Linked DNA regions of Lepisosteus oculatus. The protein of the gene in region 1 binds, or shares a complex with, the protein of each later gene. Links are inferred from orthologs where the notes say so. Each region holds a gene or a part of one and is shown in the gene's direction. Other genes may lie near its edges. The genes, in order: gemin4 and strap.

The links.
Region 2: gemin4 (region 1) and strap share a complex: the UniProt entries of both Homo sapiens proteins name them as parts of the SMN-Sm complex. The link is inferred for Lepisosteus oculatus from reciprocal best matches to the Homo sapiens genes GEMIN4 and STRAP.

The regions. Positions count from the first base shown.
Region 1 is NC_090721.1:10,941,631-10,957,543, forward strand, and holds the start of gemin4 (gem-associated protein 4), read left to right. Parts: upstream 1-10,106; 5' UTR 10,107-10,213; intron 10,214-10,404; coding exon of another isoform or gene 10,405-10,447; exon of another isoform or gene 10,448-10,546; intron 10,547-10,612; exon of another isoform or gene 10,613-11,359; intron 11,360-11,893; 5' UTR 11,894-11,952; coding exon 11,953-11,962; intron 11,963-13,248; coding exon 13,249-15,913. Other genes in the region: dhrs13b.2 (tapasin-related protein), read right to left, coding at 2,802-2,816, 3,171-3,190, 3,928-4,029, 4,644-4,973, 5,307-5,648, 6,295-6,537, 8,000-8,218, 10,405-10,447. UniProt on the Homo sapiens protein: The SMN complex catalyzes the assembly of small nuclear ribonucleoproteins (snRNPs), the building blocks of the spliceosome, and thereby plays an important role in the splicing of cellular pre-mRNAs.
Region 2 is NC_090702.1:51,130,394-51,146,245, reverse strand, and holds the start of strap (serine-threonine kinase receptor-associated protein), read left to right. Parts: upstream 1-9,035; 5' UTR 9,036-9,264; intron 9,265-9,386; 5' UTR 9,387-9,506; coding exon 9,507-9,618; intron 9,619-11,622; coding exon 11,623-11,758; intron 11,759-12,482; coding exon 12,483-12,564; intron 12,565-14,147; coding exon 14,148-14,220; intron 14,221-14,587; coding exon 14,588-14,687; intron 14,688-15,852. Other genes in the region: etnk1 (ethanolamine kinase 1), read right to left, coding at 4,841-4,987. UniProt on the Homo sapiens protein: The SMN complex catalyzes the assembly of small nuclear ribonucleoproteins (snRNPs), the building blocks of the spliceosome, and thereby plays an important role in the splicing of cellular pre-mRNAs.

The DNA.
Region 1 (15,913 bases):
TCCTGTGAGCCAGATCTCACACTGCACCAAATCAGTCTCAAATCAACGCGCCCAATTAAGTTACAATACCACAGAGTTTGCCAGCTACACCAACACCCCCCGACTTCAGACGTTTCCTTAAATGATCAAACTGAAGACCTCCAAGAATGTAATGATAAGTGAACAGCTGTAATTAGCAGGGCTTCAATTAAGTAAAGCAAGAAGTTCTTAGCGACCGAAAACTATGATTCCCAGTTCTAGGAATTCACTACCTGCAGGGGCTTTTTTGTCCTCAAGAGCCGAGGAAAAAAACTCTAGAGTTGGGTAAGTCTGATTCATCCTCACCTCTGACATGTGAGTGCAGGGTCTGGCCAAGTTCTCCCTGACCAGTGAGGTGTGGCTGTTGCAGCGCCAGCGCCACTGGGTTTGAGTGGGCCTGATCTTGGGCCTGCCCCAGTACCTTGGAAAGCCTCATAGAGACCGAGGGGGCCAGCTCACAGATTGCACTAGTGCCTGTGAGCTAGTGGTGCTGTCAGCAAGAGTCACATTGCCATCCTGGCCAGCAGGTGGCACTGCCCTTCTTTCTGCTAGGCTAGTCCAGCTGCGGTTCGGGTGAATCAGCAAAGGACATTTGTCAATTGCTAAATAGTGGCGCATAAAATTATAGAACAATATTTGTTTGCCAGATGAAAAAGGGGAAACATGATTGGGAGTTGCATTCCAGTAGAGTGGAGTTTGTCATGTCAGCACGGACATCTGTGCCGAGCTGGGGTCTCTGAGAGCGCAGGGCACACCGCCTGCTGTGGGCCAGACCCAAGACTCTATTTGTTCTGAAAACGTGCCAGGACACCTGTGATACCTGCCTGCTGCTGCTGAAACTGTGAATCAGGGCCTGTTAACCTGCCTGTGGTTTCTGGAGGCAGAGCCCTTTTCTCCAATGGACTGGACTCTCAGGAGGCCATGTGCCAGAATTCTGCTGTACAATTAAATACACAAACACGAGGCCACTTAGATTGACGTCACTCGTCCGCTGCAAATCTGTTTTAACGATTCTCAGTAACTTTTTCACACTAAAGTTCGCCAATGCCATCACAGCTAGCCAGGCGTGCAGCAGTTTGTAATGTCTGCCCTGTAAGTGACTATCTGTACCCTGTTCAGGAAACTGTTGTCAAGTGCGAAGTATCCCACAGGCCACCGTCCTGCTTCCAGCTGTGCTGGGGCTCTGCTGCTCTCCGGCACTGTTTTAACTGGGCCCTCTTATGGGCCTGCTGGCTGTAAAGATGCTGGCTGTGAAAGGATGAGTAGTTTATAGCCAGGTGCGGCGATATAGTTATCCTCAGATGTCTGTGATTATCAGTCATTTTTTCTCAGTGTTCAATACTTGAGTCTATTCCGTGACCTGTGGGAGCACATCCCTGGGTGTTCGAGGACTCAGGTTTGTGTTCATGCCATCTGACAATACAGTAGATTTCCCACTGATGGTGCACAGCAGTGTTACTGAAAGGCCCACAGGACCACCAGGAGTCTCTTTCTGCAGATCGGTCACACAGGGTAGTGGGGGCAAAGAGTTCCTTCGAGACAGAGCTGACTGCACGCGAACTAGGAAGCGAGAATTCGGACTGCAAGGCCAGAGAAAGATCGGAAAATTCGCTTCACAGCTGCTGGAAAGTACAATTCCTGCAGCGCCTTCATACCTTGAACCACAGTAGTCAAGAGTGCAATATAAGATTCAAACATCAAGTGTAGATACTGTATTTTATCACCAGAGGCTGTATTAAATCCATATAAGTGGATTCATATGTGCATTCCCGGGAAAGCGCTAATCCTAACGTGAAGGCTGTCAGTGCCAGTCTAGTTCAGAGCGGTTCCCCTTCTGGTTCTCCAAGCCCGTTCTGATCCACTCCTCGCCGACCTGTGGGATAGCAGGTCCCCAGGAGGGAAGGGGAAGAGTGTGCTGGATGTGATCTTTCGTCTTTCAGCCTCCAGATGGTGCTCGAGAAACCGTCCACACCTAATATGATGTACAGTATATCGCCAAGATTTAATTTATTGCCATTTTAGCAGATTGCCTTCTATGTTCATTGTGATGTATAAAATGGAGGGAATTATTACATTAAGGAATTTAAGAGAGAATCATGTATATGTATATTTGGTATTATGTAATGTGCCCATGCGAAATTTGCTATGAAATAAAATGTATTTTGTGTCAACGCTGTGAGTGTGGCTCTTTTGTGGAACTGGATCCCAAAGCTTAAATAAATGCACATACAAGCACCGAACACAGTTTCACATTTACAGCTGCTTTTACTGCCACAGAAATGAAACTTACCCCCCCCCCCGAAACACAAATCAAAAACCGGTTTCGTCGCACAGGGCTGAGAGTTTGCATTCAGAGAAACAGAGGGGTGGCTTCGATGAATGACCCGGTTTTTAAAGTCCTTCTTCTTCCGAGACTGATTGGTCATTTCGGCAACACGTGCATCATAAAGGGACCAGCGTCTCAAACAGTGGAACAGCAGGGTGGCAACAGACCCGGCTGTTTATCCGTGTCAGTCCAGTGCCATGCGCCCAGGACTGGCTCGTGTGCAATGTCACAGTGACGGATATTTGTGTCCGCCTGCTTCGGGTTTTACCTCAGGAATGTTCCACTGGGAAGCCAGGTGTAAATCTCATAGCACATGGGGGCACTGGCTTTGATAAACCAATCACCCAGGCTCTGGGCAGCACCCCTTGGTCCCTCTGGGAAGCACTGTGTCGCTCAGCACTGGAGAACAAGGCACGGGGGTGCAGGCTGGCACGACACCCAAAGGCCCAGATCTCCTTCAGTATGGCTTCTTCTGCAAAGTAGGGACAATTTACAACTCAGGCAGATCTCAGTGACTGTGGAGGTGTAAAGCCTGTTTTAAGAAAGTGCTTGAACTGTCTGTAACACAATGTTTGTATAAAGGTGCTTTTATGCTTTTTTCAATTTTATCAGCTAGAAAATAGTTGTTATTTTTTTACAGATAACTTACATTCTTTACAGTTCATGAAAACCCATCCTTAATACAATACAGATTTCTATGCTGACTAGCTATCACTGAGAGGCCACACGCTTTGAAGCTCAGCTAAAAAACAGTACAGGTGGTATAGTTTTTAAGTGTGGACACTTTAACTTGAAGAAGGTATTTTGGAGGTATTGTATCACTCACCTTTTTCGCTTCTCTCCTTGCTAAAAAAGAAAGAGAAACATGAAGACAAAGTGTTAGTCAGAAACACTCCACTGTGCTGCAGTTCAGTGTTCAGTGAAGACAACTGGTATGTGCTCTCTGGGTGGACAGAATCATTACCAGCAGCCACATCACTCTGTAACTCACAGCTGCCACCCCACTGAAGCTCAACAGGTGTGAGCCTGGTCAGTACCTGGATGGGAGACCTCCTGGGAAAAACTAAGGTTGCTGCTGGAAGAGGTGTTAGTGGGGCCAGCAGGGGGCACTCACCCTGCAGTCCATGTAGGTCCTAATACCCCAGTATAGTGATGGGGACACTATACTGTAAACAGGTGCTGTACTTCGGATGAAACGTAAAACCGAGGTCCTGACTCTCTGTGGTCATTAAAAATCCCAGGGTGTTTCTCGAAAAGAGTAGGGGTGTTACTCTGGCATCCTGACCAAATTTCCCCCTGGCCTTTACCAATCATGGCCTCCTAATAATCCCCATCTCTGAACTGGCTTCATCACTCTGCTCTCCTCCCCACTGAGAGCTGGTGTGTGGAGAGCGTTCTGGCGCATCATCCAGGTGGGCCTGCACACTGGTGCTGGTGGAGGGGATCCCCATTACCTGTAAAGCGCTTTGAGTGGAGTGTCCAGAAAAGCGCTATATAAGTGTAAGCAATAATTATTATTATCCCTGTCTGTGGCTCCTGACCCCATTATTATCCTACGTTTTGTTAAAATAAAGAAAACTCACCACTGTGAAGGTAGGGCAGCAGAATAACCAACACCAGTAGTAGCATCATCACAATGAACGCAACAAATATCCAGAAAAGAATCGAACCAATCCTCAGCCTCTCTGTGAACATAAAACAAGACCAGGGTCGGTTCTCTGATACTTACAAAGGACTCAACATAAATAAATGTCTCAAATAATGCACAATACTATCTTCTATAGTAAGTGTAGCTGTAATCGGAAGAGTTATTTCTTATGAAATACTGTCCTCCAGTGGACAAAGACTAAAAAAAGAATACATCAAACGTCTAGCACAGTGCATGTATTCTTTAATTTGCAAATTGAAAAAAATCTAAATTTCAGATACAATATTCGTATCATTTCTTGGTCCTCTTGTTAAACATTCGGACTCTCCCAGTCATGCACACCTGACCAGTGTGATGACCGGTGCTGCGCTCAAGGTCACGTGACTCCGCCACGCCGCGCGCTCAAGGTCACGTGACTCCCCCGCGCCGCGCGCTCAAGGTCACGTGACTCCCCCGCGCCGCGCGCTCAAGGTCACGTGACTCTCCCGCGCCGCGCGCTCAAGGTCACGTGACTCTCCCGCGCCGCGCGCTCAAGGTCACGTGACTCCGCCGCGCCGCGCGCTCAAGGTCACGTGACTCTGCTGCGTCCCTTGCAGGGGCGCTGGCGCAGATCGGGACAGTTCCACCCCTGGGCGCACGTGGCGGGCTGACCTGTGACCGTGAGGGTGAAGCTCTTGCGGATGGGGGTGCGCAGCGAGACGTGGGAGACCCGGCAGGTGTAGCGGGCGTCGTGGTCGGCCAGCGAGGGGCGCAGGATGAAGAAGGCGGAGATGCTGTAGGTGCCGTCGGCGTGGTGGCGGTGGCTGGTGAACAGGATGTTCTTGATGACCTGGGGCAGCCGGCCGCCGCCCCCCTGCTCGTGGAGCCAGTCCACCTGCACGTCCAGCGGGTAGTAGCCAGTGATCTCGCACACCACCTTCTGCTCCTCCTCCTCCTGCAGCGCCAGGGCAGTGGCCACGCTGAGGGACACCCGCGGGCTCTCTGCAGGCAGGGGCAGACAGCATCAACACAGGCAAACAGAAGTCCTAACAGGCAGGAGTTCCACAACGAACATCAGCGCTTTTCTTTAATTTCTTGGAAATATCGTCATGCAGGTGTGTGATGAGGGAGAACTGGGCAGTGTGTTTCTCTTTCAATCAGGAAAGACTCTACACTTCTATTCTCTTCAAAGACAAGCTCTGCCTGCCCCCTCACACCCGAACGCTGACCCCTGACTCCAATCCTGACCCTCCAACCCCTGACCCCCAACCCCCGTCACTTGACCCCAACCCCTGACCCCCGGTCCCCGACCTCTGACCCCAGTGCGCTCCTCACCCATGATCTGCAGCTGGACGTCATGGCTGCCGTACAGCGGCGGCACGTAGACGGAGCACACGTATGTGCCCTCGCTCTTCACCTTCACAGCGGACAGCCGCAGAGAGGCGTCCCCGCGCGACACGTCCCGCGCCGCCGCCGTCGCCCCCGGCACCTCCGTCTCCGCCCGCCCCGAGCGCCGGGAGTAGCTGAAGAGCTTGCGCTGCTCCCCGCGGTGCCGGAAGCGCCACTCCACCGTGACGTCAGGCTGGGCGTGGTCCACGGCGAAGCCGCAGTCCAGGCGCGCGTCCTGCAGGAGCCCTGCCTGCACTGTGGGCGTCCGGGTCAGGACCACCATGGCTACTGTGGAGTCCGGGGAGACAGACCGGGAGAGGGGTGAGACAGCGGTCCACCTGGGCCACTCCAGATTGACAGCTGGTCAAGCAGGTAATTAACCTCGTGAGCTGTTTCTCTGCACAGGATCAGGAACGGATTTCAGCCAAAATAGTACAAGGGAACATCCAGTAATAATAATAGTAATAATAATTGCTTACACTTATATAGCGCTTTTCTGGACACTCCACTCAAAGCGCTTTACAGGTAATGGGGATCCCCTCCCCCACACCTGGGTAATATAACACCCCTACTCTTTCCGAGAAACACCCTGGCATTTTTAATGACCACAGAGAGTCGGGACCTCCGTATTACATCTCATCAGAAGGACAGTGTCACCATACTGGGACCTTAGGACCCACATTGACCGCAGTTTGAGCGCTCCCTGCTGGCCCCACTAATACCTCTTCCAGCACCAACCTTAGCTTTCCCAGGAGGTCTCCCATCCAGGTACTGACCAGGCTCACACCTGCTGAGCTTCAGGGTGATAGGGCTCCTGCAGTACTTGTTGTCTCAATAAATTAAAGCATGAACAGATTCTCAGTATTCAGTGAAATAATATCGGAAATAATTCTGTTCTCAGCCAGCTAGCCTGGGTCTGCCGCGAGCGCGCCACCTGACGTGTTGAGGGTGTCGGCGTCGCCGATGGGCTGCTGGGGCGCGGGGCTGGGGTACAGCAGGAAGGCCGTGACGATGAACTCGTTGGCGCTGTGCCGGAGGGTGCAGGTGAACCAGGCGCTGTCCGGCCCGGCCGTGCCCTTCCAGGGCACCTGGATGCCTCCGGTGGAGTACCTGCGGATCTCGCACTGCAGCTGCTCTGTCCCGCCAGGCACGTGCCGGGTCACGTCCACCGCCGAGCCTGCGGGACCGCCAGGAGGGACAGACACCGCCGTCAGGGAAAACTGCACCCGCTGCACGGCGCTTCGATCCCGCGCAGGTGGTACGAGCAGCACGGAGCGTTTAGAGGTGAGCGGGCAAGGTGAGCACATTGGTACATGTTTCAATTATCACAGCTCCTGGTTAGGGCTCTGAAGCCAGCCAGCGAGAAGTGTCCTGCAGGTGTTGCTGTCTCCTGCTCGGCTCGGCTCACGCTTAGCCCTGATGCGGGCGGAGCGGTGGCTCTGTGGCCAAAGATCTGTGGCTGGAAGGTTGCCGGTTCGAATCTTGCGGCCGGCAGAGGAATCCTACTCCGTTTGGCCCCTTAGCAAGGTCTCTACCCCCAACTGCTCCAGGGGTGCTGTATAAATGGCTGATCCTGCGCTCTGACCCCCAGCTTCTCTCTACCTGTCTGTGTGTCTCATGGAGAGCAAGCTGGGGTATGCAAAAAGACAAATTCCTAATACAAGAAATTGTATAGGGCTAATAAAGTGAGCTTACTTTAAAAGCCTTTCGAGCTCTCAGAGGTACAACCATACCACCCCAACAGAGCTGGACACTCCAGTCACACTCCAGAGCTGGAGAATAGAGTCACGATTATCTGACCTAAACGGCTATCTGACCAATAGCACGTCGGATGCCGCGGAAACGGAGTAAACAAATCATGGATTAATGAAAGCGCAGTATAATAATGAAATCTGGTTTATTGACCTACTGTCATACTAAAATAACAGATTACCGAACTATTGTTAGTTATTATTAAAAAACAACAAGTGTGCTTCACTTCCTTGTGGCAGGGTCTTAGTAAAATGCAATCAGCAGCATGGCCTCTTGTGGTTCAACAAAAGCTAGTTGTCACGGATGGCGGAAGGGCAAGGTGAGCAGTGGAGACCCTATGCATAGCGGTAACATTGGGGCAACACGGGGGTTAGCCCAGGCTCAGGGGGTGGGTCGATGTCGGGGTAGAAACCAATGCCCTCAGGCCACGGACGGGGGGGGAGGGTGACCTGGATACGAGGCAGGTCTCACGACATCTGGGCCGATGAAACTGAGCGAGGAGCGGAGCAGATGCAGGAAGGAAATAAGCAACAGAACAAAACACACCAGAAAGACATGAAGAATCCCAGGGAACTAGGAACAGGACAGAAGTGGAGCACCCTCTAGGTGTACAGGGCGGCGCGACACTAGTGCCGCTTTGAAAAGACAGTAGGAAAAATAATCACGAGTGTGAAATTGGCAAGCGAAGCTACGTCAAAGGCAGTACGTGACGCACGGAGAGACAGAGCAGCATCGGACTGGGCACAATATTATGCACGAGCACACATATACTGTACACTATGGTGACTGGCTATGTCAGAGAAGCGAAGGTCAGATAGTCGCGACTCTACTGTAATGCCTGACCTGGCCTGTCTGCCTGTCCTACCGTCCTGCACCTGCGACCCCACCTGTGGCCAGGAAGGTGACGACGCCGGCCCGCTGGGCCTCCTGCAGCCTCTGGGCCGTGTCCGCCTCCCGGCCCGGCCGGGCCAGCAGCAGCGCGGCCTTCCTGTTGACGAACTGCGTCTCAGGGGCCCCACTCAGCCCGCTGGACACCCTCTCCTCCACCAGCTCGCAGGCCAGCAGCCCGGCCTCGGCCAGCGACTCGGACCGGACACAGCGCAGGCCTGTGAGCGAGGGAGGGAGAGACAGCGACCATGAGCGCACGGAGAGGAGAGGAGTTCCGTCGGCATGCGCACACACACACACAGAGTGAGTGTGTGTGTGTCAGTGAGTGTGAGCGTGAGTCTGTTAGAGTGAGTTTGTGTGTGTGTGTGTGTGAGCATGAGTGTGTTAGAATGAGTTTGTGTGTGTGTGAGTGAGTGTGTGAGAGTGTGACTGAGTGTGTGTGTGAGAGTGTGTGTGAGTGTGTGACTGAGTGTGTGTGTGAGAGTGAGTGTGACTAAGTGTGTGTGTGTGTTAGAGTGAGTTTGTGTGTGTGTGTGAGTGTGTGTGTGAGAGTGTGACTGAGCATGTGTGAGTGAGAGTGAGTGTGTGAGTGTGTTAGAGTGAGTGAGTTTGTGTGTGTGTGACTGAGTGTGTGTGTGTGAGAGTGAGTGTGTGTGAGCATGAGTGTGTTTCAGTGAGTTTGTGAGTGTGAGTGAGCGTGAGTTTGTGTGAGTGTGTGAGTGAGCGTGAGTTTGTGTGTGTGTGAGTGTGTGTATGTGTGTGAGTGAGTGTGTGTGTGAGTGAGTGTGTGCACGCAGATCGCCAGAGACAGCAGCTCACAGGAGAAGCGAGACGGGTCCCTGTAGACGAATCCACAGCTCATTGGCAGGATTCACGAATGATAACTACTGCAACACACGCAGAGGAACAGCGTGTGATTTTATTTTCTGAGGTCGACCTCTGACTCCTGGCGGGGACTCTTCCGCAGAGCTCGGAGTAACCACGGTCGGGTTTCGCTGCAGCAGTGCACAACGCTAGTTTCGGAATTATGCGGAATTAGATTTCCACAAAACGCAAGGTATACAGTACCTGCCGTGTACGTTTTAAGTAAAGGAAGTTCAAGTTCACATTTATTTATCATTCCAGCCATATTCAAGTATACAGTGGAACGAAATATCGTTCTTCCTGGTCCACGGTGCAAATACAGGCAGGACACTGACAGTGGACACCCACTGGAATGAAGTCAAATCGGGCACGAGTCCAGATTCCTTCTCATATCAAGCAGGATTCTGATCGGTGAAATCCGGCAGTGTCTGAAAGCGCGGACCAATCAACAGACCGCAGTCCTGCAGAGTCTCAGCTGTTGGCAGGCGAAGCGGGGGACAGCCGTATTTCATCTTTCAAAACTCGCCCGTCCAGAGCTTTTATTTACAGCTTTCCTCGTTCCTGCATCTGTGCATAAGCACCAGGGCGCCTACAGATCCTACTGCGCACACTGCGCACAGACGCCTCGCAGCCGCGGTCGCCCGAGGGAGGGCAGCCGGGTTTAACGGGTGTCGAAACGGATGTCAAGCTGCGGCGCTAAAGCGTTCAGGGCCCCGCGGGAGCCGGTGATCTGGAGGAACAGACAGGTGTCGTGTCCCAGGAGATACTGGGATACGACGTGTGTTTCCTCTACGCTGTGTGCGTGTGTGCGTGCGCACACAGGTTATGAAATCGTCGCACATAGGAAATTGAACTGCGCACAAAAAATGTAATGAAAAAAATGATGATAATAAAACAAACACGGTCATCAATTGAAAAATGCTAAATTGAACACAACAGACTGGCTGCGAGAGGCCCAACTTGGCTGTTTGCATTATTATTGCTACTCGATAATCGATATTTGTGCTCGTCTCGTACCTCACCGCTCATGCTGGCTCCACACTCAAGTCTCTATGACTGGGTTCGATAAATCGCTGTCCCGGTCTTTTAGATCTCTATGCTTTTATGAGAACGACTATATTAACGAAAAATAATTTCAGCTTTACAGTTTTACATGCACTCAATTTAGTGCGCACAGGTTTTGGCACTGGGGGAAAAGAATTGCACAACTTGAAATTTGTGCGCAAACGTGCCATTAAAACTTAGAGGGACCATTGGATACGACACCGGGAAGAGCCGAAAAGGGACCGACCGGCCCTGTTCGTTACGGACCGCCTCCTTCCTGGTTTCAGGTGCGGGAGGAGAAAAACGTACGTGCGTGTAAAAAGATCAAATCGATGTGGGGAATATCAATACTTTTCAGACAATATTTTCAAACACGCCGTCACAGAAACGACGGTAATGGGGTTCGGAGCAGGAAGGCGAGTGTTTGGGGGGGGGGTCCAATATTGGGGAGACCGCTCGGTCCGTTTCCGCGTCGTACAGGTGTGGAGACACTCACCCGAGCAGATCAGGACACACAGGAGCACCGCCGTCGTTATCATAGTGGCGCCTTACAGACGTTTTCACGAACGACCGACTTGCCGCAGCGCCTTTCTGCAGCCTCCATTAGGCGGGGAGCCCGAGTTCACTTTCTCTTTCATTTCTCAAGCGCAGCAGACGCGAGAGGCGTGTTTGAAACACGAAACCAGCCAGCGTTAGAAAAACCACGGGGACTTCCAGGGTGGCACAACCCAGTGGGCCTGTGGCCACCCCGTGTCTGACCGCCGAGAACACGGGCCATTGGCGTGGTGGTCAGTCTGAATTTACTGGGGAAGAAAGAACACCTTAAGTAGATAAGAGAAGACTTACAACTTAAATAGAATTAAAAAAAAACCTGTAACAAGTAAAGGTTTATTCCATACTGAAGAGAGAAGAAAAGAAACACAATGTTTCGGCTGTAGAACCTTCTTCGGGTGTGATACCTGAAAGGTTTCTTTCAGGTTTTCTTCTCTTTGCAACAGTAAATAAACCTTTACTTGTTCCTTTGCAGCCTACGCAGCATACTGACGCGGCTCCCTACTTGTTAAGGAATAATATTTGTTTATGTGTTAACTTTTAGTATTTCTTTAACATCTAGATTTGGGCTTGTCTGTGTGTTGTAGGGGGTTTTACTTTATTCGATTTCGTTGTTAACTTCCAACAACAAGAGAAACCGACCGGCCGGGACCGTGGAACTCCTCGGAGCGGTCAAGCCGCCGTGCTCCCAGCAGAGGGCGCTGTGAGAAACCGCGCACGGTGAGAGTGAGACTCCAGGGTCCTCCAGCAGAGCTGGTGAAACTCGTTGGTGTTGTGGCGGAGGAAGTACGAGTCTGGCGCGCGTGTGCGTGGGGGGCAGGTTAGTCTCGAGTGGAGAGTTGCGCGAAGTTTTATATAACCCCGACGGTGGTGGAATTCGGTGCATTAAGGTATCTTTTGTAAGTGAGCGTGTGTGTTTTTCATGCGGCACCTATGTAGTGGTAAACTAAATAATTAAAGTTAAAGCATTAGGTTTAGATTTAGACCTTCGTAGATCATTTGCAATCTGCCTTAAATTTAGATTTAGTTTCTAACCCTCGATTTGTTTTTAGCGTAAAAAAATAAAATGTACGTTATTTCGGTATACCGCGTTTTCCGTGCGTGTTTGTTTATCTTGACTTTGTTAAGCAGATTCAAGCCGATACAATGAAGTCCATTCATTAGCTCTCTTCGGTTTAATCGCACGTCCTACAGCCCAGTTCATGAGCAGGCGGCAACCAACTAGAAAGAGCCAGGAATTCACTCAGCATTCGTTCTGTGAAGATGTTCAAATTTATGAATCGCACACAATTTATCTGATTGCAGTTAAGTTGACTGCTCCTTTGTACTCAAAAGTATTTGTTCAAACAAACTGTGTATTCCTGGTCCTGAAAACATATGAAATGTGTGTTTTTGAAAGTGTTGACTGAAGATACTGTCTGTCACGTTATTAGGGTACAATGGGGGACGTGTGAGTGAGGACTGCTTTAATCGGGAACATCTGGACTCTACAATGGAGCCTGGTACAGTCCCTCCTTTCAGATTCTATGCTCATAGTAGAAATACTGTAACTGACATGCTTGTGTTGATAACATCTGCTCTGTAATGGTAAAGTGCATCATGTACAGTGAAGCAGGGCTTGCAGACTCTTTTTGTGCCAACCTGTGTAGACCAACAAGTAATCAGGTTATTTCCTCAGATTCATGTGGTATTTTCACGAGGTCTTTTTATCACTTTTCACAAAAGTTCTAGTTATTTGACTTGATTAGAAATAGAGTGAAGATCTAAAACATCGTGTATTGCGGTATCGCAGTTATGTAACTGAGAGCCTAGCTGGGGCTGAGGACACAGGCTCTCCAGGAGCTGAGTCCGAGGCCCAGGTCATAAATCAATGTGGTAGTAAGCCACTGTCTGACCCTGCACGGGGGCCGGTCCCATGTTTTGTCATCAGACATGTATAAAGACAGCTTATTAACGCAAACAGAAACTGTGTGTTTAATTGTTAGGAGAGGTAGGTGAGCATGGTGCTGTTAACAGTTCAGAGATCCTGTGTCCAGGGGGACTGGGGAGGATGAGAGTTCGTGATGCCCCAGCAACGTCCTTCAGCTATGGAGAGCTGATTGATAGGGGAGGGGTTTGTCGCCTGCTGTATCGACACAGAGTATTTGCATCTTGCCTATGAAATATGCTGGTTTCTCTGAACAACATTTTCCCTGATTATTTTAAAGATTTTATATGGTGTCTTTCCAGAAATCAGTAAGTGGGTATTTGTAACTGCTCTAGTTAGAAGAGAAGATGTTAGACCACATCTAAAACTCGGCGTTTTCTCGGAGTTTAAATATCCACCTCAAATCACGAGTAGTGTCTTCAGTATATTCTGTATTATGAATATACTATTCAGTGCTTGTCCAGGCCCAAGGGTGGCAGGTATCCATTCAGGGGTGGAAAACCGGTTCTCCATGTTGGGATAACTTGACTAATATGCCTCTGTCACTGTTTTTGGATGTGGTGTTTCCACACTGGAGTGCTGCTTCCTTGCTGGACCATGCTAAGTTCTCTCTCTGTCTGTGGTAGTGGAGAATAAGCAGTAGCTGTATTAGGAAAGTGCTCTAGCTGAAGTTTTAAACTCACAGTCTGTTGAGTACGTAGATAAGTAGATTTAAGGTCTAGAAGTTCAACATGTAAAGATTTACGCTTGAAATGTTAATGTTTATTCACTAACTAGTAAATCTGTTTTTGAAGAATGTGTGTGGGAGGTTTTTGTTGACTTTAACACTTGGATTAACTGCCTTTAAAATTGAACCCACAGGAATGTGGATCAGCTGTGAGAAGACAGCTGTTCTCCACGGAGGCTTTCTTCTGGCTGAGAAGCTGTACCGTCCCAAGGAGCTGGCCGCCTTGAATAAGTCCGAGTGGCACAGTGTGGGGAAGCCCATCGTTCAGGCGGTACAGGAGATTCTCTCTGACAGCAGCCTGAGCACTCGAGATGTCTTACACTGGGAGAAGAAGATTATTTGTATTCTGTGGACCAGACTGCTTGACACGGAGAACAGTAAGAGGGAGGAACGGGACAGCGGAGAGAATACTGACAGAAAGTGGAAGGAGGATCCAACTTTCTCTGTGCAAAACCTCCTCCCCAGTATAAGTCCCACGGTGCTGTTTGAGCTGGTCAAGTCCATGGGCTGTGCGAGGGTCTTTGCGCAGTTCCTCTCGGCGTTCCCTGGGGGAGCCCTGTGCGGACAGCTGGCCGGACTTGTGGAACACGTTCTCATCGAGACCTCGGAGGAGGATGTCCAGTTCCTCCTGGAGGTTTGGTGGGAGCTGTGGAAAAGCCCCGAGGAGAAGCCGGAGGATGGGATTGTCCAGGCCTTTGCTGCTCAGGCTGCCAGCTACCTGTCCCAGCTGCCTGCCCCGTCCGCCAAGAGGTTCAAGCCTGACCCTGACGTGGCTCGCCAGTCGTGCGTGGTCTCCCTCCTGCTTGACGCCTTACGCAAAACAGCAGAGTGTTTCTCCACCTCTGACCTTTGCTGTCTCGCCCTCTCCAATTGCTTGGACATGCTGTACACAAGCTTCCTGCTCGACTGCCAGACCAGGCAGCCCGTGGAGGAGCACCTGCAGAGCTTGGCAAGGGCAGTCCAGCTGCGAAGGCTGTGTAGCCACAGGCAGGAGGAGAACCTGGCCGAGGACATCAGGGAGGCACAGCGAGAAGTGGCAGCTGCTCACACACCGTCCCAGTTCAAGCCCACTGAAGTAACACTTCCGCAAGGGTTAAAAGCTCTGTTAGAACTTGTTGAGATTTGGGGCAAGAAAGAACTGCTAACAATCTCAGCAGACAGGCCGCCTAGCCCTGCGGCTTACAGGCTGAAGAGCTGCCTTCCACGTGTGATCAGCTCCTTGGAAGAGCTCCCGTTGTCAGAGGAGGTGGTGAGCGAAGGAGAAAGAGGGATTGTGAGGGAACTGAGTCATTCCCTCACATCGGTGCGAGAGGGAATTGCTCTTCCTGAGCTGGAGTGCGGTGGCGCTGAGCTGGCAAGGGTTGCAGCAGCAGTTATTGATAATCGCCTGGGAAGGTTTCAAGAAGTGACGCACGTGTTCGCATCCAGCCTGGTCTTCAATGTTAATGAGTGGACTGAGTGCTTGGAGAGGAACAAACCTGCCTTTAGAAATGAAGAGTTAGTCTTAAAATTGGTTTCAACACTTACTGCAAACACGGCTACAGGGACCCAAGATGTGTCTCAGCAGAAGAGACTGAAGGGAATTATTCTGGACATTTTCTCTGAGCTTCCTCTGCCTCTTAAGAATTCGTCACTGGCAAGGGCGCTGTCTGCCTTTGGCAGGAAGGGACTGCATGGTGTTCTGCCGAGGACTGTAATGGAGGGCTTCAGCGATGAGGTGAACTTGGCTTTCAACTGCATCACTCAGAGCAAAACACCGCAGAGCCTTGACAGTGCTGTGTCTGCTGTCGCCAGGGTTGCTTTCCAGAATCCAGAAGCGGTCTTGCAAAGGGTGTGTCATCTCGCAGTGGTGAATCTCGGAGCCCACAGGCTCCTGGCTGATATCCTGAAGAACCTGCCGGGACTGATCTACTATGAACCTTCTGGTCTGCAGAGCGACAGTAGTGCTGGTTGCAGTTTGCTCTGCCACTGCCTTAAGGACACAGTGTGGGGCAAACTGTCTTCAGCTAAAGAGGAGGACCAGTTCTTTCATTTCCTTGCCTTCCTCATGCAGCCGAGCAGCCCTGCAGGAGATGAGCCAGAGAGCAGACTCTGTTTTCTTCAGCCTGGGGAGGTCACCAGGACATTCGTCTTGCCCCATCTGATGGACAGCAATTGCAACCTAGAGCTATGTCTGCGAGTGCTCCAGCAGGCTCTCCAGCACAGAGGCCCGCAGGCTTCTGGACACTGGGTAATGTCCTGTCCTCCTTTTCCTCTCCTTTTCTCCCTTTGCCAGCTCTTACACAACTCCTTCAGGTGCTGGCAGGATCCTGTGCCTCATGATGTCAGTGTTTCCTTGGAGGCTAAGGAGCTCTTGACCAACATCCTGGCTGTCATGTGCGATGTAGTAGGCAAAGAGGTGGCAGCTGACCCCAGCACCTGGTCCAGAGCTCTTTACTGGCTCTACAACAAAGTGGAGGCTCTGGATTGGACTGTGCGCTTTCAGCTAAAAGGAGTGTGGAGGGAACACTTCAAAAATGAGGTGCCCTTGTCAATGATGGAAGTGTGCAGTTTGTCAGAAGACAAGTGGGCCGGACTGGATCTGCCCATGTATGGGCTGGGTACTGGGCTTCTGGCCTGGATGGAGTGTTGCTGTCTTTCTGCTGATGTCCAGACCCACATGCTGGAAAACCTCATGGTCGACATGAAAAATGCAGAGGAGGTCAACATGTTTAGCAAGGGCTTCATGGTGGCTCTCATCCAGGTCCTGCCCTGGTGCACGTCCACAGAGTGGGGGAGAGTTATGGAAGTGGCACGGCA
Region 2 (15,852 bases), on another chromosome or scaffold:
CAAATGCCCCAACCCATCTGTTAGTCTCATGTTAAGATGAAATAAAACACCAAGTAAAAAATAACTTGGTGCCTCTCAATACAAAACTGAATGAAAAATCGCCCTAGACGGTGATACATTTCTAAGTCTCACGCCACACACACAGAAATTGTATTCATTTCACATTTCACATATCACTTGTGACTGCTCATCTAGCACCTGATTCCCGCTTGTACATCTCCAACTTGTTACCTGTGAGTAAAAGTGTCAGATTAATTTGTGCATTTATAACATTAAAGTACAGTAACTCTCCCACATTCATTAGAATGTGTCCAGCAGTCTGCAAACAGTAAGATCTGAATGATCTACTGCCAAGGCAAAAGTCTGGACCAGTGGTCTGGGCTCAAGACTCACGACTGTAAGGTTAAAATCCTTGGTAAGGCACAAGTGTGTTACTCTTGAGAAAGATTCACTGAAGATTACTGCAGTACAAACCCTGCTGTATAAGGGTGTTAATATAAATCACTTTGGATAAAAGCATCAATTAGCTAATATAATTACAATTAATAAAAATGTAGCACCAGCCTTACATTTTCCGTCTTCAGTTTGGAATTATTTTATTGCCTTCTTAAATTAAAAAGATAAGATCATATCTACAGTTTAAATGGGAATCAAAGCCGTCAGAATTAAATAATTGTGCCCCAAGAATACCAAATATAAAGATACATTAAGATAGAGGGAAAATAAATGAAATTCATGACTAAAGGAAATCTTTTTTTCCTGGTAGAATATCTAAAGAATCACAAAATATCAACCTGCTCTATCAAAAGATATAGCAAAATTTTAGTTTATCAAGAATACATTTGCCAATAGGGAGTTTAGTATTCAGACTCCACTGATAAAACATGACACTGACAATGGATATTATTGTTATTTGATTTGAATCTAAAGATAAACGTGTCCAATCCTACGTTAACAAAATATAGCACCAACCTTAAATACTTCAGCAAATGTTTGTTTAATGGAGATTGCTTACACATTTAATTCCTGTTTCACCTTTAACTTCAAACACTGCAAACAATTGTGCTGCATTGAGCTTCTGAACCATCTGAACCTAGAAAACTGATAAGTGGCAAATTAATTAACGGAAACCGTTAATTACGGTAATAAACTGACTAAATTAAAACTGAGTAGCTCAAATCATAAAGAATTAGCCAGTTTATTACTTTTATGCTTATGGCATTTCTTCCTGTAGATAGGAAAAAAATCAGTCAGCATGTCTTTAACTGTATTAAACTTAAGACTTGTTTTATCGGTGTATTGCTTAATTAGAAAGGTAATCCCTTCCAAAAGAATGATAATATAAAAAAAGATGTTTAATAATACACAAAGCAGATTCTCATGTTTCAATGGGAGAAAAACAAAACCTGAAGCGATCTTACTCCAGCATTTTGTTTCTAACCGCAGCTTCTCAAACTTTTCTGGGTGCACAACTCCCTTGTTTGGAATTGTTAAGTCTCAAGTTATATCAAAGACACAACTAATGTTTTGTGAGGCGCCAAACTGTCCTTTAGCCCTGCTGCGGTAGCTGCCAAGTGTTTTGCAGGAAGGAAACAGCAGTGTGGAAGGCAGCTGTGGGAACACACCGAGGTCAGTAAATGTGAATGGAACCCCTACCTAAAAGCCGGGACCTTGCCATTCCAGTAGTGATCCAGCTACCATAGCCCATATTTTCATTTCACTTTGTCATCTTTCTCTACTCTGGTGACAAAGTTTTTCTGGGGTGCTCCAAAGCCTACGTCACTCACCCCACACTGCCTCTTCAGTGCTTTAATCTTTTGGCGAGAGGGGGCAGACCGTCAATGTTTGCCACGGTTTCGGCTGCCAGCGCGCACAGGTCACTGCTGCTATAGCAGCAAATCTGTTGCACCCATAATCTTTCTAAACAAAAGGCAGATCAGTTTACACAGGTGAAACACGCCGAAGTCAGAGGGATGCACCTGTGTGCAATGCCATCACTCTTCATCAGCTGACCTGCTCATTGTATCGTAGTCCAAATCTCTCCTGTCAAGGAAACAAATGACTCATCGTGAAGCTTGTGCCAGTTGTGAACCTCCCAACAGTGAGAAGTGGTGAAAGGGAGAAGAGGGAGTGTCCTTGTTAACTTTTGTTTACTGTACTACATTCCGCATTTCGATCACATACTGTGGGTGCGTTCTGGCACCTGTCACCGAGATTATTTTCTATTGTTGAGGACAATAACAAGGATTTCCAGCAGCGCAGTGTGACAAGCTTAACAAATTATTAACAAATTATTAACAAATTATTGTTGCTTAACTTAATCATCGCAATTAAGTAAAACACATGTATTTTTCTTCACCTCAATGCTAGAGAAACAGGCTATAGAAATAACTTGAAATGCTGCCTTGCTCTGAATTCCGATCCTGCTGAATGTCAATAATCCTGTTTGACAACGCAGTAAAGAACTTGGACAACGGCGCACTCAAATTATACGACTCATGAAAGGGATACTCCGTAATTCTCAAATAGGAAAAAAAAACAATATTGCAAATAATCATATACTATAATCATTTTTAATGTAAGAAAACACAAACAATTTGAGTTTTTAATGTTGGGGTGAGGACTCATTTCGCCCGTGTGCTCTTTCTCCACCTGCGTTTCTTCCCACTTACAGAGCTGCGGTCTGCGGTGCGTCACATGCCACAGAGACCCTTACCCTTCAGTGATGTAAAACTACATCACTGTAACGATGTCCAGTCAGCACAGCAGGTAATTTCCCCAAACGTGTGCAGTATGCTAATGAGACTTTTAAGCCGGTCCTTGGTCATCCACGATCCCGTGGCACAACTAAAAGAAGCAGGGGTGGTAAGCCCTATGTTGTGGCTATGGGTCACTTAGACCATCAATCTACGACCGTGCATTCTTAAAGAGCCCCACATACAAACAGGGGAACAGTTCCTCCCTTCTCTACTTGAGCTGCTGTGTAGTGGGGCGAAAGTGATTAGGTATCCTTTAGGATGAAAAGAACTATATACAGTAAATCAAGAATTATCCAGTCCCCTAATAGGGAAGGGATTGCCGGATAATCATCTCAAAGTTTTATAGTAGCCTATTTGTGCAAATCCTCAGTGCTTTGAATTTGTCCCAGCTGTATACAAATGTTGGAAACGATGCAAGGAGCACTTAAAAACACACAAAAAGGCTGCATGCACAATGCAAGATGAAGAATCAAAGTGTTGTACAGTACACACTTCAGCTTGTTTCACGAAAAGTACATTGAAAACGTACACCATTTAAGAAGAAAGAAGATATTTTCTAGATCTGCCCATGACCTCCAGAAAATGTTGGAAGCAGTTGGATGGTGTTGTCTCCATTCTGTGTTCATAGAAGGTTCAATTTGACCTTAACATGTTTTTAGATAATCTAGTAGTTTAGTAATAAGATTATACATAGTGGTCACACGCTGGTTATGGGTGAATATTTTTATAATAAAAGTGATACAATTTTTACAATTGTAATCTTCATTTCAATGTTATAATTACTTCAAGACTCTCTAAATGGGAATTTTGTATTAACTTCAACTCTGCACAAGAAAAACTTTGGGAAGTCTCTGTGAGTTTTCTCTTATGGAAATGTATGAAACAGAAGTCAAATTTTCTATGCAGGATGCCAGTATCACTGCACATTGTGGCTCGACCTGTTAATTTCACAAGGTTTGGTTTTTTTGACTTAAAATGAATGTTTAACAACCAGTTTGAACAATTATTAACCTATATTTACATGTTTTTAACGATCAAATGTTAATCAATTATGATCTTGGGGCACCCTTTGTTATTTTTTTTTAAATCAAACTGGAGAAACTGCAGAAGCAAAAGATCATTAATGAGGGGAACACTGCGCTCGGGTCATAAGGCGTACTGCAGGACATACATTTCTGTGAGGAACTACACAAGAGGGAATGAAGAGAAACTTATACGACTTATGAAATACGACTAGTGATGGTTAACCGAGAAATCAAAACGTCCAGCAAATCATTTTCGGGGCAGACGTGTTAAATCAACCGGATCCGAAACAAATAAACTTGGGGGGAAAAACGCTCCTGGAGTAAAAGATTTTAAGACAAACTGTACGAAACTGATCAAACTTTTCCAGCCCCGAGGACGTGCGTTCATCTTTAATCTGCAGTTTGGCTAAAGATCTGCGTCACTAGTCTAGTCACCTGCTCTGCATCCGTTTCTTTCGCACACCGCCGGTAACCTGCTTCGCGAAACGTGAAATATACATCAAATAGCATATATATATGTACAGTATGTACACGTGTGTGTGTGTGTGTTAAGCGTTACCATCCGGTCATGAAAGGGACGCAGGAAGAAAAACAAAAAGACCGAAAACCCGGCACAGAAATGAAGGTTGTCGAGACAAAACCCCCGACGCAGAACACCGCGCGTCTGCAGCCCACCGAGCAGAAACGACACGCACGACTTTACACGTCACGGCCCGGGGGTGAGGGATCGGGGCGATTCCCCCCTGCACGGGGCGAAGGAGGCTGCACCCCCCCGTGCAGTGTGCAGTGTGCGCAGTGTGCAGTGCAGTAATTTAGGGGAAAGCCCCCCCCCCAGGACACGCACGCCAGCAGACACGGAGGCCTCTCCGACCGCCCTTCCCCATCTGCGGCTGGCGTCGCCCCGGCAGTCTCGGCTTTCATTGAATTTCTCTAAAACGTCCGGCATCCTTTCAAAACCCTGCAGCGGGTCACTGCCCCCCCCAAACCACGGTTTCGCTTAATAAAAAAAAAACCCGCGCACATCCTTCATTTCGCGTACGAAATTGAGAAATATACCTTCATCTTGACATCTGTCTCTTTCCAGTGGGGTCTCAGTTCCTTGATAAGTTTCTGGGCTCCAGCTCTGAAATCGTGCTCGTCTACTGTGACATCTAATTTGGGGACTGCTGGGGCTCCCGCAGGGACGTGGATGTAGTCGGCCATGATCACGAGTACGGTTTTTTTTTTCCCCCTCACTTTTATTAACGGCTGTCAAAGAAAAGACACGTTTCAATGGGCTGTAGACGAGCTCCCGCGCGTGCCTTCGCAGTTAGAATCGCCTCAGCTGGTTCTGCTTCTTAGAACGTTCCAACCCCTCGTAAAGCAACCCGCGCGCGTTGCATGCTGGTCCCGGGGTGAGTCACAGCATCAGGTGAGGCGTTGCCTCATTGTGACAAGGTTGCCGCGACTGTGACGTTTTTCTGCCGGCAGTGTACTGTGTGCGGGCGGCGTCGGGTATTTCAAGTGAAGTTGCTGGATTTTTGTTTTTTATGTTTTAGTTTTGTTTCATTGGAATACGTAATAAACACTCCCCCGTGCATGGCGATACGCAGTAATAAGGCCCAAAGCTCATTTGCTCTGCAGTCCGCATTTATTTTCCTAGTCGTGTGTAACACTTTGAATTGGCAGGGACCTGGGCTGCTCCAAGCCAAGAGCTTTCAAAACCCCGGCAGCCTTTTGGAAAGAGGAGATCTAATTTTAGCAGGCAATTAATCAGCTACCACACATCGTGCTGGTTTTATGCGAAAGAAGGTGTTAAAAAAAAACACCGGCTGATGAGCAACTTCGTAGAAGTTGTTATTAGTTACATAGTATTCCAGAATGGGAAGAGAGTTCTAGAACATGCTGGATATAACCGGGTGCGACGCTCCCTTCTTCAAACGGCGTCATCACATGCACTCACACCCACTCTTGCTCTCTGTTAAAAAAACAAGGTATGATCATCCTGAGGTAGAGAGAGTTTGTATTATCGCCAAGGGACAATTGATTTGAAGGTTAAAGAATAATTTTACGGTAGACCTATAGAATGTGGGTTACAAGCAGTGATTTTACTATGGTCTTCTGACAAAATCGAGTGCTTATTTGCAAAATTCCGGTTCTGCCCGTGTGAATACAGACATATTAGACAGATGCTGTGTTAAAACTATGATTCATGTCTGCAGTAACACTAATCTTTTTTTGAGCTGCAGCATCATTGTGAAATACTGTTTTATGACAATAATGAACTATAATGTTCACGCCTTCAAGGCACAAAAATTAGAATTCTGTGTTACGAAATTCTTCATCAGAGGCGCAGGACACAGTCTTGTGCAGATTCAGTTTTATTGAGCGCAAGAAGTACACAACGTGCGCTGGTTGTGCCCCGCAGAACAGACAAACTGCAAGGGTTTCCCAGCTCTTATATACAGTCAGGAGAAAGTTCGTTTCACAATCTGAGTGCTTGTGCTTTTCTTTGATATGTAATTACTACTTGTCTTGCCCTAGGTTCTGTCCTTTGATATGCAGCAGATATTGGTCTGGTTTATCCTGTTTGTGGGTGTTGTTTCTGTCTTTTATTATGTAGCTGTAAGCCACTGGGGCTGCTAAAGCAAGTCAGCTTTATGGCATCTTAGTGTAACTTTTGGCTAAATTAACAGACCCCATCAACAGCTCTCACAATGTGCTTAAGTGGTGATACTGTGATGCTGGATAAGTGAGATATATACATGTCCTACTGCACTAATACATACAGATGCATGTGCTTTGTAGTTAAATTAGAGCCAAGGACAAAACTGTTAAAAGCAGAAAAAGTACCAACCAAATAAAAATGTAATATTCATTGTTAGAATTGTTTATTTATTCTGAAGGTTATAGAGACCAAATAAGCAGTGAAGCTAATGAGGAATGCTGTCTAACGCACAGCTTCTATTACATAAACTGTCTGAGTTGTGACTTACAGCCTTTTTGCTACCATTTGTATTGTGTTCCTTTTCAGACACAGTGTTTGTAACAGCATGTTTGTCTTAAACATTGTGAATATACAGTAGTCTGGCGTTACTCACAGCTATCTTATATACAGACAACGGTCTGCTAAACAAGTCACAGATTGTGTTCATTGCGACACTACTGTATTTTTACTCTGAATGGTCAAGTTAGAATTTATGACAGCGAGACCTCATTTGGCCCAAACAGTATGTTCATTTAGGGGTTCCTTATTTCTGGCCTGGCTGTTTTGTGAACAAGGAGAGGCTTTAGTCTCAAAACACTTCTTTTTGTTTGTGTTAGAGTAATACTGTTAAATAACAATGATGAACTGGAAAGCATTACATTATTAAAATAAAAAATAGGAATCTTCTTCTATGCATACACAAAATGCTCAACATGATCTCAGAGAGGTTTAGAGTGGGGAATGTGCCGAAGTGTGAGCTACAAAGGAACAAGAAGACGTAAGTCTATACTGTAAGGTAAAAAGAAAGAAAACCCCTGTTTCGGTCCTGGAGACTCTTCAGGTGTGTGTTGAACTGAATGAGAGAGCAGGGAGATGAGGTGAGGGGTGGGGTAGAAAGGACAAAAGGAAAAAACAACAACACAGAACTTAGAAACTGTTACACCAGGAAGAGATCAGAAGTCAAGATGAGCTTTTGAACATGTTTCACTCCTGCAGGTGGTATGGTGCCACAGTGGTTAACATTGGTGGCTCACAGTGCTTGGGGCCTTGGGTTCAATTCAATTCAAGGGGGTGCTGTCTGCATTTAGTTTTTATATTGTCTCTTTGTTCATGTCCTCCAACTGTCCAAGAACATATTACCAGGCTAACTGGCTTCTATCTGTGTGGGCCCTGCGATGGACAGGCATCTTGTCCAGGAGGTATCCTGCCTTGCACCTGTTGCTTACCAGAATAGGGCAGGGCTCCCCCATGACAGTATCAGATAAACTGGCTAGAAATTGGATGGATGGATGTTTCACACTGTTTTTTCCGGCACTCAATGTATAACTAATGTTTTTCTAAATCTCTTTATTTGCTGATTGCAGTTTCCCACACTTCCCCTGGCCTTTGCCAACCAGATTTCCATCTCTTTAGCTCCCCTGTCACATCTCTCTTAACCATTTTCACTGTATATATTTCCTTCCCTGCTCCATGGGAGGAAATTCTGCAGGGTTTTATGAAGAGCAGCTGCAGTAAGATTTGAAATTAAATCATTGCAAGGAGATTTTACGCTTCATCTTTGGGCCACTAGTTAAGTGGCATTAAATAATAAACAAAAAAAACACTCTACAGTCAAGAAACCAACAGGAAACGAGAAACTAGCACCTAGTTTAGATATAACCTCATGGTTGCTTGTGTAAGGTTTATTCATTTATTTTGCACCTGCTTTTGCTATCTCAACAAGCAAGATTTTACAGTTTTGTCTACATATTTTGATGTCTCTACAAGGACAGCAGTATTTGACTAGCTGTGATAATGCCTGTACTGTACAGAGTTATTGCCTAGTTATTCCATGTTCTGAGATTCAGTTTCCTCTCAAAGGCTCTGTATAAAATAACGTTTATTAACCAATCTGGGTCATCTAGTCACTTTCATGACACAATTAAATGTGTGTATGGATATTTCTTATGTATTAAAAATGTTGCTGATTATGATTTGAGGTAACTCAGATATGCATGTTTATTTTTTCTTTGTACTGTATACTTGTATATATCTATTTCTTAACGTTTTCTATAAATCTAGGTAAAATACATGTCTGAGAAACTTTAATCAACACTCTCCTTCAAACTCCCACAAAACGTTTCAGACGAGAAGAGGCCACTGGGTCCTATTTAACTCGTTGGGTAGTTATTAGCTTTTGGATCCAAGACTCTCATCCAGAAATTACTTGCACTTCCTAAGTGGCCCCTCTGCCTTATCTCTCTCCCCTCTCCCTCCTCCACTTTCCCAGCTTTTGTTCTCCGGTGCTATTTAATCTTTGTCGTCTACCATGTCTTTCTCACACCTGAAGAGGGCTTCAGACCCCGTTACCTGTTACCTGAAACACGTCAGCCACATGGCCGAACGCTGACCGTAGTGATGTACTAGATCTAGGGGTCTATAAAGTGAAATCATGCAGCTGGAAAAGCCGCTTTACAATCAAACACTTGAAATGAAAGAGCGAGAAGAGGCGTTCATGCTCCTCTGCTATCGGCTCCCCCGTTTCCACACGGAGCGTTATGGCTGTTCTGTTCCCTTCCGGCGGCTGCGGCCATGCGTCACCCTCTCTCCTCTGGCACATCCTGTTAATTTTCTCTTGCTCCCCGTCTGTTTCGTTCCTAGCTCCCCTCCCGCACCGGTCGCCTACGGTAGCCGGCGGCACAGCGTTGTCCGCAGGGCGAACGCTTTCACCCCCACCCCACCCCAGTCCCGGGATCCGACCGTCCTTACCGGCTCCAAACTCCTCTCCCCTGGGCAGCCCTCGCACGGCGTACCGGTGAGTGTCCGCTCGGGGCAAAAACACACAGACACACAGCACCAGCTTGAGGCGTGTTTCATACAAAAACTACAAACTGGCGTTGAATAATTTGCTTTGTTTTATTGTTTTTTTTTTTTCAGATACCAGGCCTTTCTGCTCCTTCTCGTCTCTCTCTCTCTCTCCCCCCGTCGCTGACCGTATTTGTGCAGTTTTTCTCTCCCTCCCTGCCCTTGGTGCGGGACTGATTTGCGAGGAGCGTTATGGCTATGAGGCAGACACCGCTTACTTGCTCTGGGCACACACGGCCTGTGGTTGACTTGGCTTTCAGCGGAATAACCCCTTATGGATATTTCCTGATAAGTGCGTGCAAAGGTAAGGTATCTCTAAGACATAATATTGGCGTCGCTCACGGTGTCCAACCAAGAGCGATCTGCAGCCTGAATCTTTTTTTTTCTTATCAGTCATCAGCGCAGGTATGCGCTGAATGAAAAAAAAAAAACTTAATCTTCGTTTCCACGGTGTTAAATGTGTAAATGTTGGAAACTTGATATCCCGACTGTCCTGACGGTGAAGGCTCCGGAGACTAAAATAATTTAAAAAATCTAAAAAGTGAAGGTGGAACATTCTTAAAAGAGATTCTTAACATGCAACACGTGTTTTTTTGTGTCCATATATACATATATAACATTAAGGCTTTATAAGAATGTATAAGAAATGAATTAACTTGAAGCGTGGTACCTGTTGACCAAAATGAATGTCCTCTGAATAACGTGAAGAGACAGAAAAAATGACCATGTGACATCATTGCAGCGAAGTGTAAAAACCCTGCAGTGACAGTGGACTGTAGCAGGGCACCTGGATTATTTCATGTTGAGTTGAGTTGGTTAGACTGTGCTTGATCTCGGGAGAGACAGCATGACTAAAAGACTACCTGCAAGGGGGTGTAATTTAGAGAAGGAATGTGATTTGAGTAGAGGTTTATGGAAGTTGCTTTCCCTTCATCAAGCAGGTGCTGACGCAGTCTGATGTGGATTATATTTATGTGTATTATTGTGTTTTTTGTGTGTGCTCCAGTCACTGAATTCTGCTCAATCACAGAGTGCAGTAGATTCTAAGTTAGGTCACTCTCTTTAGCCTTTAGCCATGATCGGCACCCTCATCAAACAGTGATCAGTTTGTCTTGTTGGGTGAGTTGTTGCCTGCTGCCATTGTTCTCTTCATGATTATGACAATGTCACATACAATTGTTTGTGCTCTGTCCTGTTTCTTTCTCTTTTTTGTGTCTTGTAAACTGGCACACATCTTTCCAGGGGCCCTGGGACACCTTTCTGCGTTGCCTTTTCTATTAAGGGTCTGGGTTTCCTCAGGCACGCATTTTAAACAGGAAGCACACATTGGCCATACTTTATCTCGCAAATTTGCTGTTTGTGTCATCCAGTTACAGATTAAAATTTCTGCTTGTCGTATTAATAAATGGACCGCTTTACAAAAGAAGTAAATGGCATTTATGCAAGAACAACACTCCCTATCCTTGGGAAGGGAGCACGTGTATTTAGATACATGTAGGGGTATGTGTAAAAATACTTCAATGCTGACGTACTGTTCCAAAAAGAATATATATATATACACACACCCCAGTATAGTGATGGGGACTCTACTGTAAAAAAACAAAAGGCACCATCCTTTGGATGAGACTAAAACTAAGGTCCTGATCCTCTGTGGTCATTAAAAATCCCGGGGTGCTTCTTGAAAAGAGCAGAGGTGTTACCCTGGTGTCCTGGCCAAAGTTCCCCCTGGCCTTTACCCGTCGTGGCCTCCTAATAACCCCCATCTCTGAACTGGCTTCATCACTCTGCTCTCCTCCCCATTGAGAGCTGGTGTGTGGGGAGCAGACTGGCTCACTTTGCCTCCAGTTCTATCATGCAGGTGGAGCTACACACTGGTGGTGGAGGAGGAGATCCCCATTGCCTGTAAAGCGCTTTGAGTGGGGTGTCCAGAAAAGAGCTATATGGGTTTAAGGATGATTTAGATTATTATTATTATTATTAAAGGTGAGCTGTGTGTTTTTGTGTTGTTTTTTTTTGCGACTGAAATGCTCTGCATCTCCAAATGAAATATCCCACACTGAAGGATCCTACACTTTCTTGGGAAACAGCTGACAGTGCCTCCCCTGGGCAAGGGATTTGAGCATCACACAAAATCAGACCGTTAATCTCTTCAGGTTCGTGCAGAGGCATGGAAGGCTGTTTTCTGGGCCGGCTGGTGACCTGCGAAACGTGTCACTTTGCCGTCTGCAGAATCTTTCCCACGCTCTCGAAGCGTTGACCTTTTGCTCGGTCCTAACTGTGTGTGTGTGTTCTGTGCTCCTCCCACCAGATGGCAAACCTATGTTGCGCCAGGGGGACACAGGGGACTGGATTGGAACGTTTCTGGGTCACAAGGGTGCTGTCTGGGGGGCCACCTTGAACAAAGAAGCCACCAAGGCGGCCACTGCTGCGGCCGACTTCACCGCGTGAGTACGGCTTCGCCGCCGCCGTGGGGACTGCGCTGCGGGACAGAGGCGCTGCTCGCCGGGTGGCGCTCGGTGCTCGGTCCGCTCCCACCGTGTCAAAGACACCGTCCAGAACGTTTATCTTCGTGCATTCAGAAGATGTCCCGAGAAACGCGAGCCGCGCGCTGTAGATCTGAGGTTGAGGGTCCGTTCCCCTGACAGATCAGCTGAAGGGGTCCAGTGATGGAGCGTTTGCTCGACAGTGCGACTGGCTAGTGTAGATGGAGATCCTGACGGTAGATCAGTTGACACATGGGCACTGGTCTGGTGCCTCGCAAGGACAGATCTTCTGTTAAGCTTAAAAATATTTATATTTTATCTCAGTGTTTTGTAAGTGGGGAAGAGATCATTTCAGGGAGCGATTGCTATTATATACACGAGAAATGGAAAACCGAGTCATTTACACTATCCAGCGGGTTGATCTGTCTTAATGGGAATGGGCTCTGACTGCACTGCAGATATCTGTATAATGCTGTATTGCACGTACCGAAAAAGCCACCTGTTTTGATGAAAGTTTCTGCTTCTTTCTGGAAGGATTCAGTATACAATCTTAAGAGACTATTAGTCGCACAGCTATTGGTAAACAATTAAAACTGTTTTGGAAATCGTTATCATTCTTACTGACACATTGAGTTATGGAAGGGATGAGGGTGTTGCTGACTTAGGTTTGTTTCTTTTCTTATAGCAAAGTGTGGGATGCTGTTACAGGGGATGAGGTCCTCACTCTAGCCCATAAACACATCGTCAAGTCTGTGAACTTCACTCAGGTTTGTTACTTTACTTGGAAATTCATGAGAGAGCCAGTCACACAGCTGTAAAGCTGTGCATTTTCTAGCAAACGCTTACCATGTCACTGTGGTAACGTTATCCTTTTATTAACTTTCTTAAAGCTAATGCAGTAGTTCTGCTTGTGTTATCGCTAGTTTATGTTATCTGTAAAGACTGGAGAAGCTTCTCTCATGAATACAAGATTGGGTTCAAGATTAGGAGCAAGGAATGGAATGGTCAGATCCACATCTTTGTATAGTTCATTGACATTCAAATTCTGAGTATTAGCCAAATCTTATCTCACTCTGAAATGAAATATTCTTCAAAAACCGCTGGGCTGCAGAAACTGACATCAAGCAATGTTATTAAAACTTATTTTTCCATCCATGTGTAGTGTTTAAAGGACATATAGTGCTCACATTATGTGGTCGTAAAGGACATGACCACTAATGAACCCTTTTGTTATAATAGCAAAATATGCATGTTTTTTAACTTTCCTGTTGGTGGTTTTTGTCCAATATGGAAATAGCCAAGTGGGTGTTTGTAATGTCTTGGCTCACAGCTTCGAACCCTGACCTCTGCGGACAGACTCCTCTGTATTGGTCACGTCACGTCCTCCCTTACCTACTTGCCCCAGCCTCCAGTGCCCAGGAGGCCACAGGGCTCGCTGGGCGGAGCGGTGGCTCCGTGGCTAAGGATCTGCGCCTGTGACTGGAAGGTTGCTGGTTCAAATCCCACGGCCGCCAGAGGAATCCTACTCTGTTGGGCCCCTGAGCAAGACCCTTAACCCTAACTGCTCCAGGGGCGCCGTACAATGGCTGACCCTGCGCTCTGTCCCCAAGCTTCTCTCCCTGTCTGTGTGTCTGTGTCCCCATGGAGAAAAAGCTGGGGTATGCGAAAAGACAAATTCCTAATGCAAGAAATTGTATAGGGCTAATAAAGAAACATTAAAAAAAACATTACATTACAAAAAATTCGGCGAAATGCAGCGTTGCCAGACCAGTAACATTAGCAAGACATTTACAACAAGCCGTTTACAACAATTAAACTTACTGTCAGGGGTCTCTGTGCCGCTCACCAGGAACAGAGAAACCCCTGACCATCCAATCCCAACCTCAGGAGTTCAGCCTGCCTTAGGCGAGAGAGTGCAGTTTTTTTAATGTATTGAAACGTATGTTCATGTGAAAATGACATCTTCTAATGCTTACAGATTAAGAATGTACTATATATGTAAAAACACAGTCAGAGTTGTAATAAGAATTTAGAAGTTATGCAGTGGCAAAAGATCAGTTAATTGTGCGTAGTGGCAAAAGATAACTGCCCTAACAAAGGCAAAAGAAGTCCCTATGGAGACTTGGACAATTATATTGAAATGCTTGGAATGCATTGCTTCGTAGTTACAATTAACTCCTTTTTTTTTTTTAAAAAAAGCTAAATGTACTGTAAATAATCTTATATTTAAATTTTAAAACTGTGTGCTAGAAATATAGGAATATTTATTCACTAAAAGTTACTGCTAAAATTATACTGTGTTTTTTATAGGTTTTAATTGTGACATTTTTAAACATTTTTCTATGTGCAGGACAGTACATGCCTTTTAACCGGGGGGCAGGATAAAGTTTTGCGCATTTATGACTTGAGCAAGCCTGATGCAGGTGAGTGCTTACTGGTGAGGGATACTGGTTACCATGCTCTAAGCAGATGCGCGTGGTAGGGTCATACTGATGACGCTGTAGTTTTCTGGTGTGATAAGTGTGAAGATCATTTTCCACACAAACATTCTGAAGCAAGTGTATATTAATAACACAACTTGTAACACAAAACAACTTGATTTATTACATCCACTGTAGCTTTGTTGTACACACATGCATGCATATATATATACATTGCTTTGAAGTAAACAGAATTAGTTTGAGAACAAACAGTAAGCTGTTCAATAACTGTACAATAATTGGGTACATCATTCTGTCTTCATCTTTCTGTCTAAAATAACAATGGGTCTTGGTTTGTTTTCCTGTACAGAGCCTCAGGAGATCACTGGCCACACCTCTGCCATTAAAAAGGCTCTTTGGTGCAATGATGATACGCAGATACTTTCAGCTGCAGATGACAAAACAGTGCGGTAAGCTGAGACTCTCCCTTGCGTACCTGGGAATCGGACCGTGTGTGGAACGTTCTTGGAGTTAAAGGAGTTGTGATGGTGAAACTTATCAGTTCTTGTGCAAGTGGTGCAGCTGGGGAGAAAAGACTTCACTGACTTCTGCACAACCCCTGCTGCAGTAGTTCTGGCATTGGAGTCTTTGTGTTACATTTCGAGTGTCTTGTTTAAAAGAGATGGGCAACAGTTGTTTTGGAAATGAGAATGGAAAGGGGGGAAAAAACAAGATCAAGAAGAAATGACATGGGGACCAAAGGGAAAACCTGTTCAGTGAATAACATGCAGAAAACTCATTGGAGAAATCAAGTGTCTGAATTTACAGTTTTATGCAAACGTTTGGGCACCCCTGGCCAAATGTACATGTTTTGTTGATTTTCTTAGTAAAAAGAAGTTAACACAACCTCTGCGGCAAACAAACTTAAAATTGACATATTTCTGCAAATATTAATACGCAGTTACTATTTATTTGCTAACTTTAACAGGTTGGAAAAAAAAAGTAAATGTGGCATGTGCAAATGTCTGGGCACCTTTGCAGTTGAACCAGTTTAGTTTTTTTATAAGGTCTCAGAACTTACTTGATTCATTAGGCCTGAATCTAAGTCAGGTGATGACAAATCCAGAGCTTAATAAATTCTCTGACTCTTCGAACCTCTCAGGGTGTTGTGCTTACTCTCAACAGCCATGGGCTCCTCTAAGCAGATGACCGAGGATCGGAAAATAAAAATAATTGACTCTTGCAAAGCAGTGGAAGGTTATAAAAAGATATTAAAACACTTCCTGCTTGCAATTTCAGCTCTCCGAAATGTCATTAAGAAATAGAAGTTAAGGGGAACTGTTGAAGTCAAGACAAAACCAAGAAAAATCTCAGATGGAACTGCTCGTAAACTGGTCAGGAATGCAAAGCAAAAGCCCCATATCACTGCAAAGGACCTGCAGGAAGGTTTAGTGGTCCACCAGTCCACTGTGCAGCATTGCTTGCACAAACATGATCTGCATGGAAGAGTCATCAGAAGGAAACCTTACCTGCCATCTCATCACAAAAGTCAGCGTCTGAAGTATGCAACACAACACTTAGATAAGTCAGAGGCGTATTGGAACCAGGTGCTGTGGTCTGATGAAGTAAAAATTG